Schizosaccharomyces pombe: one gene and its partners. Changing the gene in region 3 together with the main gene of any one other region gives a genetic interaction. Each region holds a gene or a part of one and is shown on either strand. Other genes may lie near its edges.

What was found.
Region 1: mutations in ftp105 (region 3) and gcn5 together harm fitness more than expected from each alone (negative genetic interaction), as found in Schizosaccharomyces pombe (2 studies listed by BioGRID).
Region 2: mutations in ftp105 (region 3) and gid9 together harm fitness more than expected from each alone (negative genetic interaction), as found in Schizosaccharomyces pombe (2 studies listed by BioGRID).

The regions. Positions count from the first base shown.
Region 1 is NC_003424.3:4,971,306-4,977,996, reverse strand, and holds gcn5 (SAGA complex histone acetyltransferase catalytic subunit Gcn5), read right to left. Parts: upstream 4,374-6,691; 5' UTR 3,882-4,373; coding exon 2,517-3,881; 3' UTR 2,299-2,516; downstream 1-2,298. Other genes in the region: SPOM_SPAC1952.06C (uncharacterized protein), read left to right, coding at 557-2,251; SPOM_SPAC1952.04C (uncharacterized protein), read left to right, coding at 4,662-4,753, 4,967-4,980, 5,075-5,145, 5,335-5,571; OUT family ubiquitin-specific cysteine protease Otu2, read right to left, coding at 5,860-6,402, 6,449-6,691.
Region 2 is NC_003423.3:399,825-406,511, reverse strand, and holds gid9 (ubiquitin ligase complex subunit), read right to left. Parts: upstream 3,979-6,687; 5' UTR 3,817-3,978; coding exon 3,589-3,816; exon of another isoform or gene 3,527-3,588; coding exon 3,005-3,526; exon of another isoform or gene 2,955-3,004; coding exon 2,490-2,954; 3' UTR 2,299-2,489; downstream 1-2,298. Other genes in the region: SDA1 family protein, read left to right, coding at 91-2,250; tho4 (THO complex subunit), read left to right, coding at 4,163-4,207, 4,249-4,317, 4,371-4,495, 4,602-4,668, 4,829-5,347; plg7 (1-alkyl-2-acetylglycerophosphocholine esterase), read left to right, coding at 5,828-6,687. UniProt on the Schizosaccharomyces pombe protein: Component of the GID E3 ligase complex recruiting N termini and catalyzing ubiquitination of proteins targeted for degradation.
Region 3 is NC_003424.3:1,784,488-1,794,168, forward strand, and holds ftp105 (Ubp5 interacting protein Ftp10), read left to right. Parts: upstream 1-1,882; 5' UTR 1,883-1,950; coding exon 1,951-1,970; exon of another isoform or gene 1,971-2,012; coding exon 2,013-2,055; exon of another isoform or gene 2,056-2,117; coding exon 2,118-2,150; exon of another isoform or gene 2,151-2,218; coding exon 2,219-2,865; intron 2,866-2,963; coding exon 2,964-3,171; intron 3,172-3,227; coding exon 3,228-3,605; intron 3,606-3,704; coding exon 3,705-3,959; exon of another isoform or gene 3,960-4,011; coding exon 4,012-5,205; 3' UTR 5,206-5,868; downstream 5,869-9,681. Other genes in the region: gus1 (glutamate-tRNA ligase), read right to left, coding at 1-598; protein saf5, read left to right, coding at 6,138-6,791; mrpl1 (mitochondrial 54S ribosomal protein uL1m), read right to left, coding at 6,995-7,756; poly(A)-binding protein Crp79, read right to left, coding at 8,106-9,464, 9,536-9,681. UniProt on the Schizosaccharomyces pombe protein: Required for the localization of ubp5 to the Golgi apparatus. Involved in detoxification of cadmium ion.

The sequences.
Region 1 (6,691 bases), 3.2 Mb from region 3:
AAAATCCATAATTGTAATTTTATCATATATACAGTTAGGATGTCATTTTTACACCCTCTTTTGAAAAGTCATTGCTACAATTAAAAGAAAGGTAATACAAGATGGATCTAATTTCTTCCTTATTTAATCAACCTAAAAAATTTCGAGTTAACTGCATGCACTTTATTTAGCTTCTCTTCTCTTAAATAAACACTTTTTATCCTTCTTCCAATCTCTCCTTTCTTGGATATAAGAGTTGTATAATATTTATAAAACAGAGGGGAATTTACTTGCTGTTATTATTTTTTTCCAAGCTTAGATTCTGGTTTTCACTTTTGATACACTTTGTACATGCCTACATCTTACCTAGCTTTTACTTGAACTGGTAAACGAGAGGAATTTTAGGAACGAGTCAGGCGTTATAATTGAATTGCACGATAGTCTTTTCATAAGGCTTTTATTTTACTTGATGCGGCTATAAAATATAAGTTTGTCAAAATTATTTATTTTGTATCAGACGGTTTTCATATATTCAATTTGAAAAGGAAACTGGCGCATAAAAAATACATTATTCTAAATGGATGTAGATTCAATTTTTAAAAATACCGAGGAAACAAATAAGAAAAGGAACCCTGAGGAAGCAGACTCTTTGGAGCCAGCTAGTAGTCGCAGAAGACTCGCTGAAGAGAATAGCGATGAGGAGAATGAAGAATTTGACGAGGAAGGAGGTAGATTTTTTGGAAGTGGGCTTAAAAAGAGTGAAAAAACCGTTTTAGACTTTTTAGACGAACAGGAAGCCCAGGAAGAACCTGCTTCATTGACTCCTACTGAATTGAAGCGCATGGTAGTACGACTTGAAAAAACAATTAATAATAATCAGGAGTTACGCATCAAGTATTCTACTTCTCCTCAAAGGTTTATAGAATCAGAGGCAGATCTTGATCTGGAAATTCGAAGCTTCAATGTGCTTTCAGAGTATCCTATCCTCATACCCATTTTCCTTAAATTAGATTGTGTTTCCACGTTTTTAGAATTAATGAACCATGAAAATGCGGATATTACTATTACGGTATTGGAGCTATTGATAGAACTGACTGACGAGGATGTTGACCCAGACGCATTAAACTCCTTATTTACTTCCCTTATAGATTCTGGTTTGCTTCCTTTGCTTTCAAATACAATCAAAAGGTTTGACGAATCTAATGAGGAAGACCGACATGGAGTATATTGTGTGCTCTCTCTTATGGAGAATTTATTATCTGTGGACAATAGCATTTGTTCAATAATAGTTGAAAACACAACATTGGTAGAATGGTTACTGAGTAGATCGTCTGTTGATGAAACTTCTATATCAACTAATTTGCAGTACGCTGTTGAAATTTTAGCTATCATTCTCGCTAATTCAAAAGAAGCTAAATTGAAAGTGTGCAACTTGAATGGGATTGATCTTTTGTTGCGCCGGATCAGTCCTTATAGGCTTCGTGATCCAACCCAAGGATCAGAAGAAGAAATGATGGAAAACGTGTTTGATTGCTTATGTAGTCTGGTTCAAGAAACGAAAGGAAAATCCCTTTTTCTAAAAGAGGAAGGTATTGAATTATGCATACTAAATATGAAACATAAAGGAAAAAGCCGTTATTCTACAATCAAAGTTTTGGACTATCTTTTATTTGGGCCTCTTTCCACTCCTTATTGTATTCGATTTGTAGAAGCAGGCGGTTTGAAATATATTTTTGCTGCGTTTATGAAAATATCTGCAGCCGATACTCTGGAACATATATTAGCTATTCTGGCATCTTTATTTCGATCTTTACCTGCTGACACCGTAGAAAGGGTGCGCTTTTTACGGAAATTCATTGAAAATGACTTTGAAAAAATGAAACGCCTTTTCAAAATTTACGATCGCTTGAGAATCCAACTCAAAGGTATTGACCAAAGCAGAAAACTTGATTTTAGTCCTGATTCGGAGGAAAAGAGTACCAAATGGTTTCTCCAACAAATTGATCATGGACTGTTTCCTTTCCAATCTACAGTTCTTATCCTTTCGTGGTTATGCGTTGAAAATACAGTGACATTGAAAAAAATTAAGATGCTGTTTTCCGAAGCATCCATTCCAATTGATGAGTTGACTGATGCTCTAAAAAATTATCATGAAAACCTTGAAGAACCGACGGTGGAGTCCGAAGAGGTGGAGGCCAACGACTCTTACTACAGAATTGACGAAAAACCTATGGTTACTGTTTTACTTGGATCTATGCAAGCATCTGTGTAATAAAATCATGACTTGTTCTGATAACATATTTTCAATTTAATGAGTTGTACATTTGTTATTATGGAACATAAAGAGTGTTTGGTATTATAGAATTATATATATTTTTAAACAAAAAAACTAAAAATTAAACACTAGCAGTTCTTGATATGCCAGCATATTTGGAAGGCACAAAAGATATTCGTGTAAAAAATTAAAAGGTGAAATGTATATGTTATAATCAATAAAACTTCGGAATAGACGTTTCGATGATAATAAATGTAAATGATTAATCGGCTAAGTGTGAATACTCAGTTTCACGAAGTTTTTTCTGGAAAAACTTTTCCAATCTATCGGCATTTTTATAGTAAGTCGTGTTGGAGTCATTGTAAGAACGGCAATTATCAAATATATATTTTGCATCCCGAATAAATTCCTCTACAGACTCATACTGGTTGTTACGCAACCGAAATTCCATAGTCGAAAGGTCCATGGGGTGTTCAATAACTTCGTAATAATCGGGTACATCCTCTTTACTAACCGGTTGCATAAAGGGCCAGGAAGACGGATGATTTTGCATTTCTGTAAAAAGCATTTCCAAAACGGCAAAAAAAGGTTTAGGTCTGGGCTTTTTGGAGAGCTCTTCCATTTCCTTGCACCATCCAACTTCCATCAACCCAGGAACTTGAGACGGCTCTATATGAGCTGGACCATCTTTGAATACGTCTAAACCAGGATAAACAACGTTCGACCGAGTGATCCTGTTAATTTTGGAAACAACAGCAGCTTTCTGAATAGCCAAAATCAGATTAGCTTCTAAATACTTTATTTTTGGAATCATGGTGCATTGCATAAGTGTGCCACCTTCGTAATCCTTAATATAGCCAACCCATATAGACTTGTCAAGAGTAATTTCCTTAGTAAATCCTTGTTTTTTAAAATACCCGATTGCATAGTTATCTGCATATGTCAAGAAGTGCTGAATTGTAGTAGTTCCACGGACATAATCCTTTAAATGATTCATTAAATGAGAACCATAACCACGAACCTGTTCATTGGAAGCAATCGCACAAAATACAATTTCGGCAAATCCTCGTTGTTCAAATGGACGATAAGTAATACCGCCCACTACATGTAAATTATCTTTGACAATGGTCATTGAAAGATGGTTTCGATCATAAATTAGCCGCGTAATGTATTCTTTTGGCATTTTAGGAAGTTGTTTCATAAATATGTTTTTTAAACCAGTCAACATGATCATACTGTCGGCGGTGTCGTCGTTAGAAACAACACGAAATTGAATAACGCCGCTTTTTTCTTCTAATACAGATGGCTTTTCAGTAACTCGTACACTACTAATATCAAAATCAACATCTAAATCTGTAGCCACGAGCTTTCTCTTTTTAGAATTTGAAACTCCGTTAGGTACGAAATGAGAGGATGAGCTTTCCGTATCCTTGTTTTCCTTTACAGCTAAAGATTCTTGTCCATCGGAATTAGCAATTGCTTCGCGAACATTTGGATTGGATTGTTCGTCCTGTTTTACCGGTTTATCATGTACACTATCGTTTGACGCATTTGGAAAGTTGGAAGATGTACTGTCTACAACACTTGAATCGGGTGGTCGTGTTTGATCATTTAACGAATTCGACATGATTATTCTATGCCACGCATCCAAACAAATAAATCCAAAAAGTGAAGATACAGAAATTGTCAAGAACGATACAAGATGAAACGAGCACGAAAAAACGGTATATAATAACGAAATACAGAAAATTAAAATAAACGATAATTTGTTAAAATATACACCACGAACCCAGTTATTTGTCTCGAAAATTTTGTTTTTGGCACCAACAATGTGAAAAGACGTCGACCAGCCCTTTACCTTTCTAAAACTTAAGGAAACTCGGCAGGGATTCTCTTAGAAAAAGAACCTCTTTTTATAGAAAGAGTTTGAACACAAGTCAACCGAAAATGACCGTATCAAGGAGAATTTTTTAATCTATAAAAAAAATCTCAGATTTGCGCTCCAAAATACAATCAATTTTTTAATACTTCAAATCAACGATTATCCTAATATTTACTAATTAAAGACACAAATACATGATTTGACTTGGGATGCAAGATTAGAAAATTTCTTCTCTACGAATTTTCTGCTTTCATTTTTTGAAGTTATTGGTGTTGCTTCTAAATATAGAGACGCACCGTAGTTCGTTAGCAATACCTCTTTTTGTGATGATATTCTTTTATGTATTTAGCGATAAAGCTAACGAAAATATTTTCTGTGATATTACACTAACTGTGAGGCTTAGTCTACGTACTAATGGAGTGACTCTGCTAAAACGAATATTTTGGATTTAACTCGAATTATTCATTATAATATCCAACTTCTTTTCTTTTTTTTTAAAGAAGATTTTAAGACTCTTAACGTGAGATGTTCCTCTTCTTGCCGATACCGCTGAATGTTCAAGACATATGGAAAGTCAATAGCAAATATAAGCACGTCTTACTGACATGTCCTGTATGGTATGAAATCAATGAATTAGTGTTAAAACAAGTGGATTGAGTACATTGTTTAAATGGCGAAGTGGAAATGGAACAATTGTAGAAACATTTTGTTTTCAGAAATTACGCACTTGTTTTTTATTAAAATTTGTCATTTAAAAATAGTTTCTAGCAGTCTTCTTGTTTTCCTTCTATTCTTTTCATCAGCACTTTTTGCTAATACTTTCTTTTTAGCCAAAATAAAACTGGTATGAGACACATATAAGTGGTGTAGTTGCATGAAGGCAATTGCTCTTTCTTTGGGTTGTTTTATTAATGTTAACGTAAAACTTTGGTTTTTAGTTCGGGTATATCGTTTGGTTAAATCTTTAGCACTCATCGTTTTGCCTGTTCTCCCGGTTTATACGAGTAAGGTAAGGGAATTCAAGAAAGCATATGTTATGTAGTTGACCCTTTCTACTTATCATTGTTTGGAAACCTGACAGACCTTGTTTGTTATTTTCTAAGCCATTCTTCAATCTTCAATGTTACATGCTTTCCAGGGAAAGTTGGGATTATTTTGCTGTCCAACTAATAAGCACTCACTTGCTAACTCAGAGCAGGTACTTCGTTGTTCTCATTGTGGGTGGTATGAACCAGTAGATTCGGCCATGATTGATCAAAGGCGCAGGCGTGAAGATCTTCCTACTCCCGAAAGACCTGAGGCGAGTGCTCAACAGCATGCATTTTTTCCTGGCTCAAGTTCGCAACAAACCGATATTCCTAACGTTCGTCCTCAACCACATATACCGCCTCCAAGAAAAAGTGATGAGGCACCACCCCCTTACAGCTACAAGTAATGTTCTACCTTAATTCTATTTATTGTTCTACCGTTTCTAATGCTTCCCTGATGAAGCTTTCTAAGCATGTTTGGTAATATTTATTGTGCATACTATATGACTGGATATGATAGATAATAATGGCTAATTTTTTTTTTTGATTAATAGAATACAGAAGAGTTTTAATTCATAAATATTATTCATATAATCTAACTCGTAAGGCACAGCCTTTTTAAATGGTTTCCGGCGAGGAAGGAAGCTAATAAACCAAAGGATAAAAACCTATCTAAAGCATCTCATTAGATCTTTTTAATTGTCCCGATATAATAAACTATTATAGTGAGCGCCAAGCCCAAACAAATGCTGGTAATATGCTATACACAACGGTTTTTCGAACTTGACCGTTGAGGGGTTAAACTTTAAAACTGGACCTTCTGTGTTGTAGACATGAACAGGAACCTCAAGAGAGTTTGCTAATGCCTGTATTTCAATATCACTTCCCCATTTGCTATTGTTTCGAATTTCGTTACAATAATCGGATACTGGCAAAACTTCTCCAGATTCTTCGTCTAGCAAAAAGCCTTCAAACTGTTCGCAGTGCTTTAATACATAATCAGCGGATTTATTACGAAGAGCTTGGCTATTTAGTTTAACATTATGATGATAATTTAACTGATGTGAAATGGAAGCAAATAAACAATTTCCATCCGCTGGTATATCGACTGCAACAAGTCCAGCTTCCTCAAGGATTTTTGAAAACTTTTTTTTCTCTTCATTTTTGAGATCAGCCATTTTTTCTGACTCTAGCTCTGCCTGCTCAGACATTTTTTTCATCTCTGCTTTACGTCGTTCCTAATTAACTTTGTTAGTGATAATTCGTCAAAAGTTAAGCACTTACAAGTCGCTCTTTTTGTCTATTCCTAGACTTTTTAGGCTGTTGCGGTGTATTTTCTTTAGTATTCAATGAGGACTGAACTGATGATTTTTCTGCCGTCGTAATTTTCGTATCTTCCATCTGTTGTAAAAGCGTATTGAGGAGATCTTCTTGCTGCGTTTCATTTGTCTCTTCATCGCCTTTATCCAATTTTTGTCGTTCTGTAGCATGTTTTTGTGATAAATCGGCTTCCATTTGTGAGATTTT
Region 2 (6,687 bases), on a different chromosome or scaffold from region 3:
AAGGGCTTTTTTCGCCTGTTACTGGTATTGCTACACTAATTGATTATTTGTACTAGTTTATGATTTATATTTTCACAAAGATACATTAATATGGTGAAAAGACGCACTGCTGCTGTTTTACCTAACAATCTTCCTCATCTACAACATCTGGTCAAAAAGGATCCAAAATCCTACAGAGAAGAATTTTTGCAGCAATGGAATCACTATGAAACCGCGCGCGAAATTTTTCTTGTTAATCCATCTTCAGACATTTCCGAATTTTGTTCATTAATCGATTTCATTTCCCAAACTTGTAATTATTATCATGATGTTACTGCCGACTTTCCTAGCGAATTAATTGAGCTATTACAAAAAAACCACACAATATTCCCTTTCGAACTTTGTGAAAAAATCGTTTTATGCCTTGTTCTGTTAAAAAATAAAACAGTAATATCTCCTATTACATTACTACAATGTTTTTTCCCGCTTTTCCGTGAAAATCCTACTCGTGGTGTTCGCGAACTTTTGTATCAACAGGTATCTCTCACCATTCGGAATGCCAATAAACAAGCCAAAAATGATAAGTTGAATAAAGCTGTTCAGTCTGCTCTGTTTACTTTGGTTGACGGTTCGGGTAGTGGTTCAGCAACACATACTGATTATTCTGGACAAAAGCGAGAATATTCAGCAAGTGAATTATCAGGTGTTTGGGCTGTCAAAATGGTTCGTGATTTATGGAAAAGGAATGTTTGGTCCGGTGATGCACGTGCCGTAAACATCATGAAATCTGCCGCACTATCATCAAACCCCAAAGTTATGCTTGCAGGGATTTACTTTTTCTTAGGTGCTGACAATCAAGAAGAGGAGGAGGAATCTGATGATGAGGGTCCAGATGTTTCCAAGCTTTTGCATCAAGCTAATGTAAATAAAAAGACAAAATCCCGTGAGGCTGCTTTGCTTCGTGCTCGCGCAGTTGTAAAGAAGAAAGAGCGAGGAAAACAAAACGTCCCCACAAACGTTAACTTTCCGGCTTTACAGCTTCTTCATGACCCTCAAGGATTTGCCGAAGAACTTTTTGAAAAGCACTTGGCTAGCTCAAAAAGCCGTCTGTCAATGGATCAAAAACTGGTGGTCCTTCGACTCCTTACCAGATTGGTAGGTTCTCACAAACTTACAGTCCTAGGTCTTTATTCTTTTTTAATGAAATATTTGACACCCCACCAGAGAGACGTTACTCAGTTTTTAGCATGTCTCGCTCAAGCTTCCCATGAATTCGTACCTCCAGATGCGCTTGAACCGTTAGTTAGAAAAATTGCCGACGAATTCGTTACTTCAGGTGTCGCCAATGAGGTTGTTTGTGCTGGTATTAATGCTATTCGTGAAGTTTGTGCTCGTGCGCCTTTGGCAATGACTCCCGACCTTCTTCAGGATCTAACTGAGTACAAATCTAGTAAGGATAAAGGTGTTATGATGGCTAGTCGTAGTCTCATCACTCTGTATCGTGAAGTTGCTCCCGACATGTTGAAAAGAAAGGATCGTGGTAAGCTTGCTTCTATTGAGATGAAAGATCGTACACCTTTGAAGTATGGTGAGGAGTTAAACGTCACCCACGGAATCCAAGGATTGGAACTTTTAGCTCAGTATAAAGCTGAACACGGAGAAGAAGGAGAAAATGGAGACGATTGGGATAATTGGGAAGTTTCAGAAGATGGACAGAATTCTGATGATAGTGGTGGCTGGATCGATGTCGATAGTGATGACAATATTGAATTAAGTGACAGCGATGAAGAGGAAGAGAAGGCCACTGCAAGAAAAGAATCAGATGAGAAAGGATCTTCTTCACAAAAGGAACTAGTTGATAGAATGACCGAGCTTGCGTCTCAATCTATTTTGACACCTAATGACTTGAAAAAGTTGGAAGAGCTTAGGGAGCAAGCGGGTGTTGATCGTCTCGTCAATGGACCTAAGCGTTCTTTAAAGAGGCCAGACGATGCCGTTGAGGCTGATGAAATTGAAGGTCCTAGAAAAAAGGCTAAGAACGACCGAGAAGCCCGTATTGCTAGTGTCATGGAAGGACGTGAAGGACGTGATAAATTTTCATCTAAAAAGGCAGGTTTTAACCCAACAAGTCTTTCTAACAAAAGAAAACAACGTAACAAGAACTTTATGATGATTAAGCATAAATTAAAAGGTAAAGCTGGACGAAGTCTTGTTCAAAAGCAAAAAGTTTTACGAGAACACGTAGCTCGTGAAAAAAGGAAAATAAAGTAAGATATTGATTACTATATTCGGTTTATGCTTTTCCTTTTGGGGCATCTTATATAGGTATATTTAATTAGGTTTTGGGTTTACATGATTGAGGGATAACCTATGGTAAAGGTGGATACTGGAAGTGAATTTAATAATATAAATTACTATCATTATTAAAGATAAACATATAAATCTCGTAGCGTCATCATAAAAAGTGTAAATCCTTAACTCACAGAAAATGCGTTATAGAATAAACAGTATCAAACCACATAAACTTTACGAAGAAGTTGGAATGGAAACTCTTTGCCAGAATAAGGGTCTCTAAGAAATCCTTCTCTAGTCCCATTAGCTTCGTTCCAACTTATGAGGCTCTGGATACCATAAACTCGACCGTTCGGGAAAGCAACAGGACAATTGTCGCTGTCAAGTCCTTCGCCTGTCAGAGAATCCACTATCGCAGACTGAGTAATATGGGCATAAGGAAGAGCTTTGCCAAGGTCATTTAAGCAGGGCGTACATACAGGGCATTGTTTCACAGTCTGGGATTGTAATGCTAAAGGATTATCATCATTCGCGTCAAGATAACACAACGGGGTTTTCAGGGAAGATAGACCAGCAGCTAACAATGCATGTAAAAGAGGTACAGACGGTATATTATGAACGGCAGTAAAATTGCTGGTAAACAAGGAAGCCAAATATTCCCATCGGTCATCGGATAGAAGCAACTAATTTGTCAGTATAAGCTAAGAGCAGAGGTCTCTCAATGTAAACTTACCGAATATGGTGAACCATTCGTAAATTCAGGAAAAGCTAGTAGGGCAGCCGCTAGCTGTAGTCGAGCAGGATGTTCATTTGCCCAAGTACCGAAGTGCGCTTTGGCGAATGCAATGGCTTGGCAAAGTTTTTTACTTTTTATTAATTCTATAAATCTCTGTAGTCGGACCTCAAGCTCTAATGTACTATTATTTTTTTTTAAAATTGCTCGATGCTCCGAACACCAAGACAAAACCTCTTTGAGCTCCTGTTGAAGAATGGAATCGTGAATGAGCTGATAACGCTTATATATGCCTAAATCAACCAAATTCTCCAACTGAGAGTCTTTACAAAGTAGAGCAGCTGCCCCATGGTACCCATTCGCCATCATATAATCAGCAACTAAACGATTCAGTCTGACTCTTGACCAATCTAAAAAATCCGCAGATTCCATGTCACGAATTCCTTGAAGACGATTCATGAACAACAGTCGTGACTTAGTTTGCTTGATAAACAGAGCTTCACAATCATGCAAATGCTTCATCTACACAAAGAACCATGTAAGTTACAAATATCCAACTCAAAAAAAGAATCAATCAAACTTACCTTCTTCTTTACAGTACTGACTCTTGAAAGGAGAGAATCTATTTTTTCTATTTTTTCATCCATTGATGCATTCTCTTGACTGATCAACGTTGTCAATGTGGAATTGATCACATGCGATTCATGCTCCAAGTGCCGCAAAATGTGTTTGAAGTTAATGCGCAATTGCTCAAAAGAGAGAAGAATACCAGGCTTTTCAAGTATATATTGCTGCTCTGGACGAAAATTCATGTTTGAAGGCAAAGTCTAACAAACTATTGGTAGATGGACCCAAAAATTTAAATCAACTAAAGAATATTGAATATTTTAAGAATAAGAAAGTAATTAGAAGAATTTGTTTAAATGTAAGGAAAACAGCAATTGCAGAAAGACGATGGGTTGTTGGCGAAAGATACACTTTCTAGGACCGTAGTGCAAGATGAATGAAAAATAAGGAGAGCTAAAAAACAATAAAAAAAGAGGTGCATATATTAATTTATGTCAGGAAAATCTGCAATTGGTATGGAAATCTCCTTTTTGGAATGCCCCGGGTTAATTTTTACCAGTCGACATTTTCGTGCCAAGTACCAATTTTCAAATGTCGCTGGAAAAGTCCTTGGACGAAATTATAAATGAAAGAACGGTAAATTTTTTTATTTTCGATATTTGTTTTAACAATCCTAGAATGGTTTTGATCACAAGCACAGTCGGCGAAGGGGATCTCAAAATCGTATTTCCAAAAAATCGCGATTGGTATGCTAATTTCGAGGATTAAGTGTTTATTTACTAATTTTTTACTTTTTAAGACCTACAAATTCAAAAGAGCATCAAAAGAACACAACTCTAGTCCAGACGATGGCCCGTGGCAGCATGACTTGGATCAAGAGCAGGATGCTCATCCAAGGACCACTCACCTACAGAAAAGACAACAGTATGTTTTGAATTTATAAGATAAGCTGTAAACTTTTTTATTACTCTATTAGCTCTTAGTCTACATGCACTGTTATTATCATTATATACTAACACAGCAATCTTAGCTCAGAAAATCGATTTGGGGTTCGTGTGGAAAACTTACATTATCAGGTTTTGGAAAAAGATGTTTTGGTAAGTGATATATGTTTACTATGTTTTCAAAAGCCTCGCTTTTAGTTTTCGATTGAAGATTATGAAACGAACCTGACAAAAAATCTCCCTGTCAAGCTAAGTAGAGCTTTGTTCCGATTTCGAATCGCTTTTTTTATTAATAAACTAACCTTTTCTTAAGTCTTTGTTTGAAAATTTCCATCCAATTCGCGTGATTATGAACTATGATCGTGCAGGTCGCTCTGAAGGCTCCTGCGATGTTTACTTTGAAACTTCCCAAGATGCTGAAGATGCCCAGAAGACGCTTCAATCTACGAACTTGAAGGGCTCCGAAATTCAAATTTCGAAAAAGTCTCCACCTTCCTTATTCGATCGGATTTCCGACATGCCACATTCAGCCCGCAAACCAAGCCGGTCTTCTCGTTCGAACCGAGGATTCAACCGTTCTTCAAAAAAAGACGACAGATCATTTCGTTCTTCTTCAAAAAAGTCTTCTAATAATTCAATTTCACACGAAGATTTAGACAAAGAACTTGACGAATACGCAATGTCATTTCACGCTGCTTCAACTGTGTCATCTCACTCATCACAGGATTTCACACCGTCAATAGCCAATGCTCATGAGAAAAACGAGCCTGTTGCTCCTTCAAAAGATAGTAATTTGACCGAGGAGATGGACCTCCAAATGGAAGCGGTTTAAGCTCGAATTGCTGTGCAAGTAACCCTTTTCCTATGCCAAAAGTTGATTATTGAGTCAATTGCTTTGATTTGTACATTATAAAAACGAACCGGCTAAAAGGACATCTTTCATCATAACCCCTTACTTTATATATAGATGCTCGTCAATTTCCATCGTCTTCCTTCTTCTACCACAATCGTACGAATCGTACCAAAAATTAAAATTTGCAGCAGACAGATTCATATTACCTTGCAAGGCCAAAAATTTATTAATTTTATTTTTTTTATTTATGTTTATAAGTGCTTGTTAACGAAAGAGATATTTTGTTTTTGTTTCTGGCATTATTCCATTCTATTCCTACTACAGTGATCATAGCAATTAACAATACATCATCACTGTGCTCTTGTAATTTGATTGAATCGTTTTTGACACAATCTTTCATTCTTTAAAATAAAATAAATTTATATATTTCTACATTACATTCTTATTTGTTAGGTAGAAATGGGATTGGGATTTTCTTCGAAAAAGCAATTACCTGCCTACTGTGGTCCCTTGCCTGTGGGGTCTTTAGTCTTAGAGCTGAGTGTTCCAGAGGAATTTCGATGTGAATATAAAACCATTGAACACAAACTAAGAACCGTAAAAGTACGCATTTTTTATCCATTGGACCCAACAAAAGATGTAGAGCCTCGCACCGATGAGCTTTGGTTACCATTCCATGAGGGTATACCCGAAGTTGCGAAAGGTTTTCGTTGGTGGCTTCTTCGTGCGTTCGCTTCTGGTTTGACCAACTTAGCTTTGCCCGTCTACAAAGGAGAGTTGTTTCATCCACCGAACAATGGGAAACTGCCAGTATTTATCTTCAGCCATGGATTGGTTGGCTCGAGAAATGTGTATTCTTCGTTATGTGGTACAATCGCTTCCTATGGTATCGTCGTCTTGGCCATGGAGCATAGAGATAACTCGGCCATCATATCTACAGTGCGTGATCCATTACATCCTGAAGAACCCCCGTACGTTGTTCAGTATCGCGAGATAAGCGACTTTTATGCAGACGCTACGGTTGTGCTTCAGAATGAACGACTTTTATTTCGACAGCAGGAAATCCAAATAGCCCTCCAGATGATTCGAAATATCAATGACCTTGGAACTCCGGACGAAAACTTACCCTTTCTTTGCTCTGTGGACTCTTCTTTTTATAATTCTGTTTTCCAATCCATGAAGGGTAATTTGAATACCGCTCAAGGAGAATTGATTGTTGCTGGTCATTCTTTTGGTGCCGCTACTTGCGCATTCATTTCCGGTTCTTCTACCAAGTCCTTATATAATGACTATATGTTTCACACTGAGTTTAAGTGCTC
Region 3 (9,681 bases):
GAAGACCGATCTCGTAGTTAGGACCAGAAGATTTTTGTTTTTTGCTAATATTAACTGCCTTGGTGAATTCTTCCATGGTGACACTCACGGCATTTTGAGAATCCATAAACTTGTACCAACGAGCAAGGTTGAAATACTGGCCAGTGCGTACGGCACCAGCTGCCATGTTGTTTGATTTTAAGGCACCCCAAATAGAAAAATCAGCAGAGGTGAGGGAATAACCCACAAAAAGAGAGCGCATAATTAAATGGTCGTCTAACTGAGCAAGAAGTGAAGAAAGCTCAAGAAAGTTGTGGTTACCAGCTAAGGCAGAGGCAGTTTCCACCCAACTCTCAACCAAAGAACGATCGTTTTCGCCAATGAAAAGTTTAGGATAGACTTGAGAGAAAGTCTGTAAAGCCAACTTGGAACCGAATACAGGAGAATCAGAGCCGTTAAGCTGAATGGAGACGTTCGATTCCTTGTTTTGTTTGTCTAATAAAGCAACGTCCTCATACTTGACGGAAATGCTTCCTGCACCAGACAGATTCACATAATTTGCACATGCAACTGCACCATAAGCAATGGGCTTTGCTTTTAATGCAACACTAACTGACATTTTCCCAAAACCGGTGGTGAAAATTGTCGAACTTGGTTCGTGGTAAGTTGGTGTCGAAGTGATTTTTAGGGTATTAGTGTATGGTAAAGGTATGTTTGCAAAACACTAAAAATCCAAACCAGAAAAATTCGAACGCAGTACGAAGTTGACCGAAAAAAAAGGATTCTATTTAAGTACAAATTAGATTATAGATAAGGAATTCAAGTTCATGTCTGACCTTGATTAATTTTCTTTCCAGCATTTTTCGCTAATCTGCTAATTTTATACAGATATGAACCGAAACCGAGGGTTTCTCGTTATACTGTTTACCATTTTCTAACGTAAATCGGTATACCGATAAGAAAAGAGAATAGATACATAATAACAGAGTGGAGTTGAAACAATCAGAAGAATGGAAGAAAAGTCATTTTTTTGTTAATAATTACCTGTTAATCAGCTATAGGATTAAAGGAAAAAGTAGGAAAAATCATCTACCAAGTTAATTAATAAGATCTTTATCATCTCATTTATTTAGTTATCTTGCTATTGACAATTTTGACGATATCAAATACATATATGACATTTCAAGTACATTGAGAGTAGAAAAAGAGCACCTTTTATAATTGAAATTATTATAAATTGGAAAAAAATCTCACTTCAAAATAGATAGCTGCTTTGTTTATTTTACAGAAATAGCTAAAATTTGAATACAGCCATTTATAATGTACTTCATTGTATATAATATAAGGAACTCTAACATATCACGGCATAGTCTAGCGATTCATCTACTGAACATGTAAATATATCATTGTTTGCTTCGACAGATGTCTCATGTGGTTTTGCCGCGTGAGTTATACAGTAGATGAATTGTTTACAGCTATACAGTTTCCTTGTTTTTTTTATAACTGAGAAACCTTTGAGGTTTATCTGATGGCACGGTAATTATGAGATAACGAGTAGAAACCAAAAACTCACAAACATTTAAATGCAGTTCAGCAGGTAGCTGAAGTCTCTTTGACAAGCTGTATTTCTTCCTTAATTCTCATTTCGTGATGGTAATCAATTGTTTTCCTTACCCTGCCTCCTAACAAATTGCAGTTTGCTAAAAAGTGTTTACCAAATAGTGAGTCATAGTGCATTGACTGTAAATGTGAAAATTCGTCGTAATGCTAACGATCATTAAATGTACGGTAGAGCTAACAAATTAACTCGAGCAATAATAAAATTTCGCAATATGAAATAATGCATCTTTTGGAAACTTAGCGCGCGAATAAAGTATACACATGGACGGGTCTACTAGTACCTAACGATTATCGATGAAGCTGCAGCGTTTGTCAAGAGCACTTTACGGTTTTCGCATCTAATTAGAGAATATGGGAGGCCAAGAGTCAAAGTAAGTAACATTGCGAAATTTTCGTATGAGCTAACTGTTTAGATTGGCATTTCAGCGAGGAATTGCAAGATTAGCTTCTCAACCGGTACGGTTTGTGTTTATGGGTGGATGATACGCTAAGAGAACATTGCAAGCTAATTCTAGTAGGATATACCGTTGGATGATGAAGTTTGGGTTTCTGTATGAAATTTTTTTTATTAACTTGTGTAAGACGCTTTTACTAATGTATTCGTTTTTATGTTTATTAGCTTTGGAGTGTACCTGAAAGTTGTCCAGAAGTTTACGATTTTTTTCCCCCAGGTCTCATTCGTGAGATGAGGGATCATGCCTTTGTAAACCTTGAAAAATTGCTGCTTGTATTGACATCTCGTTTGTTTGCGTTGAAAAATGACAAAAAGTTTCCAAATCCTGAAACGGCACCAGCGAGTGAAGCGTTAAACTGCATTCGCCTACTTACTAGAATCATTCCTTTTTTGAATGAGAAACTCGATTTAGAAGAATGGCATCAAAAGTTTTGGTGGAGCCTTAGAAAGAAGAGAAATTTACCAAAGGAAAATTCCGAATTAGACCTTAGTAATTTTCAAGACGATCTAGATTTTGAAAATTCCATCTCCCAAAAGAACGAATTCTCGCAGAAGTCTCCTTCAGTCCCATTATCTCCTGTGAGCACCTTTCCTGCTTCTTCCATCTCCCTTGATGCTTCTTCAGACGTCTCTGCCGCTGACGTATCAGTAGGTGGTTCTAGCACAATCAAAGAAATTGGCTCTATTGAAGAAACTTTTACTCATGAAAAAACTTTAATGGAGGAATTGCTGGACACCGTCTTTCGTTTGCTTTTTTGCAGAGGCTTTACGCTTCCTCTTTCAAGTCCTGAGCAATATGCATACATTATATGGTAAGTATATATGTATATATATATATATTTTTTTTTTGTTTTTCGTTTGCTTTTTTATATTTGGTTAAATGCAATGTGTTAACTAATCACTTTTGCAGGGAAAATGGAATTGGTACAACAGAAACCCAAGAGAAAACCACAAAGGAACTTGCGTTTAATCGCATTGAGGTTCTTCGTTTGCTGTTAGTATTGATTTCTAAAAGGCTGTATCGATCTTCTGAAGTAGCTTCTCACACCCTTACTTATTTGACCTGTGTAGCAAATAAGCAGCTTATACTAGTTTTTCTTTATTCCCTTATAAATACTGTAAGTTTTGGCTTAAAATTTACCTTTTTTTGTTGTACAACTAACTTAGTTTTTAGACTTTGCGACTTAGACCTGATAGCTGGAAGGCTTCGTATTCAACTCTAGTACCTTATAATGATTCTAGCATTGCACTCTCAAAACTTACTTCTCAAATCCTTTTGCTTTTTTTAGATCACACCCCTCATGAAACAACAGTCGAATACTTCAGACAGAGACTCAATCTTTCTCCTGGCGCTGCTATCGAAAATCAGTATAGATTATATTTTTCTCGACTTCAATTACAAGCTGATTATGAATTTTTAGTTAACGAACTATATCGGCTATTGAATGCACCAGTTTCCGCTATCTCTGCCTATATTTCAATTGTACAAAAGCCTAATATCGCGTTTCCGGAAATTATTTTGTTTCTTTGGCAAGCAATTTTATATAATAAAGTATGTTCAACGGTCCTTTTATATATATTACATTATTTGTACAGTTGTTTAATTTATGTTGTTACGCGTTCATTATATTTGCTAACTAATTTAAAACAGCGTTTCCGAGCATTTTTGATCACTTCTCCTTATGCTACGGAGTTTTTAACTTCTATTCAGTTTTATGCACTTAGATATCGTGAAGACAATGAACATTCCGGCCTTGTTCGCATTTGCCTTTTTATCGTTCATTATTTATCATGCGAGAAGGTTCTTTGTGAAAAACTAAATAGAAACTGTATGAATGCACAATCATTGATGTCTTCCCTTGGGTTCTCAGTCCCACCAATGTCTTATGCAGAGTTTTTGATTATCGTAAGATTCACGATTAATTGTTTATTTTAATTTTATTACTTACGCCTTCCAGTCTAGCTTTCATATTTCAGCAGTGAAGAGATCTCCGTTTAGCAGTTTATCTCCTGTTATATTGTTGACCATATGCAATATTGCACCATTTGTTGAAAACCTAAGTTTCGTTACGTGTGCCAAATTAATGCAACTCTGTTCATCTCTTTCATCTCCTCGGTTTCTTTTTCGTAATCCGCGCAATCATCTGCTTCTTGAATACCTGTTACAGGCTATTTCTAGTATAGTTGAAAACAAGTTTTCTCAAAACCCTAATCTCAGTTATTCTATTATTCGCCTCCAGCAAGTTTTTTTGAATCTTAATTCTATGAAACTTCCTGCCGTTGCTCAGACTAAATCACAGCCTTTAGTGGCCCTCAATTCGGAAGGAAGTAGTGATTTTGAATCTAAATCATCCGATAACACCTCCTTAGATGGAACACCACTCCAAAATACTGACTTTAAAAAAGTTGCTACCGTTGAAGATGATTCACCTTTCGATGAATTAGATAAATTTTCCTCCCCTTTTAGTAGCAGTAGTTCACGCGGTGGCTTATCACATATTTCGAGTAGAAATGTTTCGATTTCTGTCCCGACAGTCCTTCAAGATGTATTCTCAGATTCTCCATTGGTTCTGTCTAGAAAGTTGCGTGGGAAAATACCGGAAAATGTTTCTAGTTCAGAACTTATTAAAAAATGTGCATCCAATCCGTTTGGAAAAGATTTAGAAATTGACTCAAATTTGTTTGCACCTTCCAACTCGTGGTTTAATTCTTGGCATTCAAGACTTGAATTGGATTCTATTCTAGCCATTATATCTCAGTTTTCTCTACCTGTATACAAGAAAATGAATGAAGAATTATCAACTACTGACGAAGCTGTTAAACTATTAGCTAACTCTGTGCTAAATGATGTACATCCTCGAGTTCCCAATTTTCGCTACTTTATTTGGAGTGTCCCTATGAATAATTGGTTTCAAAGTCTTGTTTGGCTTTATACTTTGTCATTTGATGAAAAAGGTTTAATGGCTACTCCCTCTTTATTTACAACCTCTAAAGTGTACAAACAACATGGAAATATCATGAAAGTTGCATCTCCTGAAAACAGTTCTAACTCAATGGAGAATGCCACAAAATCTATACTTGACAAACTCGATTTGCTGTATTTACAGCTGCCAAGTAGTGTCAACCACGATTCCAGTTTACGCAACAAGTGATTCTTAAATTCAATGCGTAAATTAAAGTATACTTTTGTCCTAAAAAATATTTGAAGAAAACCCTGCATGCATGTTATGGTATCTTACTTTGAAAATTTATTGATTAAATTGTTCACTAAAAAATTATCTTGGAGGATTTGCATCCACATACTGCCATCATTTAATTATATACTGATGACCAGAATCTTGCCTTGCTAATTTTGATTTTTGAACTTTTCGATTTGTTTTCATTCTATTAATTAACTAAAAACTGGCTTGGAGAATCTTCTGCTCCAACCTTGTCACTAGCTTTAAAAAAGTCTTTCGAAGTTTGATTTGGAAAGTTGGTGTTTGAAAGTCAATCTCGTATACTTTAGAAAGACCCACCTTTATGAGAGAAACGATCCACTGATGCTAATTCATTACATGTATCCAAATCAATGTATAACCTTATATAGCAATGAATTGGTTGCTAAAAAATTCTTAGCTTTATTTCGCTACACTTATAAATCTGTTTACTATATAAAATAAAAAATCCAATTTCAAAAGTTTTGAGTCCCAATTTTTTGGGTAACGAGGATTACTTCATAAAGACCTTAGACCTTTCCTTTATTTTTTCCACAAAACTATTTATATTCATGAGTTTGTTTTGTAATTGCAATGAATAACTAGCTTGTCATTTACGAAAATTGCATATCAAAAGTATTTGAGTAAAATCGATATCCTGTTTGGCATAATGGTTCAATTTATAAAAAATTCGTGTGGTTAAGAGTAGAAATATATTTTCGATTTTGCGAAATGCTTAATATGCGAAGATATTGTATTTGAGTACTTCAAAAGAATACAACGCACAGTAAACCTTTTCTTTCAATAAATTATCAGGTAGAGGTGGCCTTATTACTGTTTTTTAATAATTTTTATGCTTAAATACCTATTGGAAGCAAGAAGTAATTATGATTACCAAAATTGACTCACTTCCAAAGGACCTAATTCGCAAAGTTGAAAATGGTGAAAAGTTGTTGCCAAATCAAGAAATCGTTTATTTTGAAGAAAAAACAGTCCCCTATAAAATTAGAAGTGATGAGGAAAGTTTTCCTTTGGGCAAATTGATAACTTTATTAGTAACTTCACAGAGCTTTATCCTTTTTGATGAAGAACAGAATTCTGGCTGGAAAATTCCATATGAAACCATTACTCTTCATGCGAAACAAAGCAAGGATAAGCCATATGTATATGTTCAATTAGAGGGTGAAGCCATTCGACCCTTGCTAGATCACATTCTTAAATTTGAACGGTCGTCAGGAACATTGCATGAAGCTCCTTCTACCGAAGATGAAAATGAATTCACAGATGATTTTTTAGAACTAACATTATATGTTACTGATGTTGATTCATGTTACCAGGCTCTTTGTACTTGCCAATCTCTACATCCGGACACTTTTTCCTCAGATAATGATGTTGAAAACGCGAGTATGGGAAACCCTATGTCCTTATTTTTTGATCCAAATCACCAGTGGGTTACGGCTGAAAACGTAGATACCTCAGCTTGTGATAACAGATTTGATTCTCCGGAATCGCCTGTTCTGAAATGGCATCGCACAGAGTAACTTTCATAATGTTGTATTCTAACGTTTCATTCATACTTTTTAAAAAGTAGTTTATGATAATAAATAAATATAAACAGGCTTCTAAATTTACTAGATAAAATATCATTACACATTTCACTAATTTGTACAAAATTAATCATGTAATACATATTACAAATGACAAGACTGTAGACTAAATTTCCCATGCAATAACATTTTAATCATTATTTATACTGGAGAGGAATTGCAATAGCATGTGAGGCGGAAAGATGAACATGCTTTACGGTAACTTTAACTTTTCCAGGCAGTTTGGCCAAAGTAAACCGAACATTTGATACAAGTGCTTCGATGTTTTCTTGTAGCTCCTTGTCGCTGAACCCTAGTTTTCCAACCGGCAAATTTATCGAGCCTGCATCATTTTGCCGATAGTCAACAGCTGTGAGGGCAGATTCAATGAGTGGCTTCAATTCATCTGATATAGTACCTCGTTTTATTGAAGGCATAAGACGTTTTGATCCTAATAATTTAGCAACTTGTGGTAGTAATTCTGCCGAGTTGGGATGAGCAAAGCACTTTGAAAATTCAAGGGGCTCTGTTTGAATTTTTTTTACTAAGTCTTCTGCACCAACATAGGTTGCACCCAATTTTAAAGCTTCATCTGCAGCTGCACCTTTAGCAAACACACAAATTTTAGGAGGCTCTTGAAATGGATGAGGAAAGGCAATTTGACCACGAGCTGACGGAGCGCGTCGATTACTTTTTAAAGCAATTGAAAGCATATAAGACCCAACATATGGAACAGAAATGCTCACAGATTTGAGATATTTTGTGGCTTCAGGAACTGTCATCGCAAGAGCGGGAAAATTGGATTTCTTGTTTAGTTGAGAAATAAACCTTTTGCAGAAACCCTTTTGATTTTTAAAATTTAAAAATTCATTATGTGACAATAATGTTTGCCGTTTACCTAACGCTATTAATGAACTCATGGTTTTTAATCTGGTTCGTCAAACTGTCACCAAGCTACTGGATGTCAGTCAATGAACCTGCTAAAATCATAAATCTCTAAACAAATCTGATCCAGCTGTCAACTTTCGAATTAATAAAGAATTATCTTTCAAATCAAATTTCCTTATAATGTTTTTGATTAAAGACTAAAAATAAACGGTTTCGTTTAAATTCCACGTTGTGGTAGTTGTAAGATACTGTAGGGTTATACTAGCAAATCCATCCGTTCACGATGTATATATTTTAAGGAGTTAAAAGTTTGTTCATCGGAGTTTTGAGGGATATAGCATTATGAATTTTGTTTCATAGTTATATCTTCACCGCATCTTGTTAAATCTGCGTCAACTGAATAGTTGTTGGTGAATTGTTGTTAACCTTTGTTGTTGATAAAAAATTTTCCTTATTTGAATCTTTAATATGATAGGAATTCATTTTTTGGATATTGGATGTAGCTTCTGGATAGCTGTCCATGTACCCGACAAGTGAAAGCATGTTCGTTGACTCATTACAGTCCTCATCTTGGAAATGTGAGGGCTCAACTGTTACGTACGTAAGAGTTGTACAGGTTGTTGCTCTTGCTCTTGGCACAAAGTATGCATTACTCAGCTTTTTGTTGTGAAGCATGTCTTGTATCTTCTTCAAGTTGGTGGCTGTTGAACCCATCTTAGCAGACCCTCGGTTATTTAGTTTTGTGTTAGCATGGAATACCAATGGTTTTAACAAGTTTCCTTGTTCTCCGTCATGGCTCAATTTTCCTGCTTCTTTCTTTATATCCAAGTTGCCTGATAACTGTCCACTAAGTTCCTTATTTTCTTGCTTACAGTTAACATATTCATTTGTCTGACTGGGTTCTTTGTTTTCACCAGTCTTAGGCTCATTCTTATTTTCAACCTTACTTGAAAGGGTCGTGGGATTCTCAGAGATTTTGTTTGTAGAAGACTCTATTGGCTTTCGGATGGTAACAGTAGAGCTTCTTTCTGGTTTGACGAACAAAGCTTTGTTGTCTTGCTGCGCTGTTTGTTCTGAAGTAGGTTTGTTTGCAAAAAATGCTTGCAATCTACGAATTCTGTCAGACTTTCGCTCCGCGAAGCAAACGAAAATCCTTTTTTTCCCAACCATCATTCCATTCAATGTGTCTTTGGCTCTAACGGCAGCCTCTATTTGACGAAACGCTACGAAACCATAACCTTTGGAGATTCCTGAATTTGGATAGCATGCTAACATGGAAGACAAAATCGACCCGAAGGGTGAGAATAAATCTTCCAGCTGACTCTTGCATGTGATGACGGTATCATCTAAATTTTTAACGTATAGATTTGAAGGGTCAATAGGAGAATTAGGGATACTTGGAGAGCTTTCACGTAAAGAGTCCCAATGCACGATTGACTGAGGTTTATTATCTGGGTTCCAAGCGGCTGGATGATTTTGCTGATTTGAAACACCGGTAGTTGAAACGCTACCCCATTGGCTTTTCTCCTTAGTTGGTGAGCCCATAATCCATGTCATCTTCGAACATGTAGCATTTTCGATATTTATTTGAGTTTTGTTAGCGTTTTCCGATGGGAAAGGCCATAAGCTTTCACCAGTCGGCGTTGTGGGAATTGACTTCACTGAAGAAGAGGCTTTATTTTTTATACTGACCTCTAAAATGCTTCCTTTGTATGGAACGTTATTTAATTTTTCTATTGCCTTAATAATGAGGTTAGTATCATGAAATAGATTATGCAAATATTGGGGTTTTCTCTTCATATTGAGCTTACATTTTGACATGATTCAACTGAATCCATAATCACTTCGCCATACCGGAACCCTCTTTGGTCAAGAAACTGGCTGACCGCCGTCCCTTTTACTACACCAGCCTGTTTAAAGTGGTTATATAAGTCAATCGGTGTGACTTCGGCAGGTA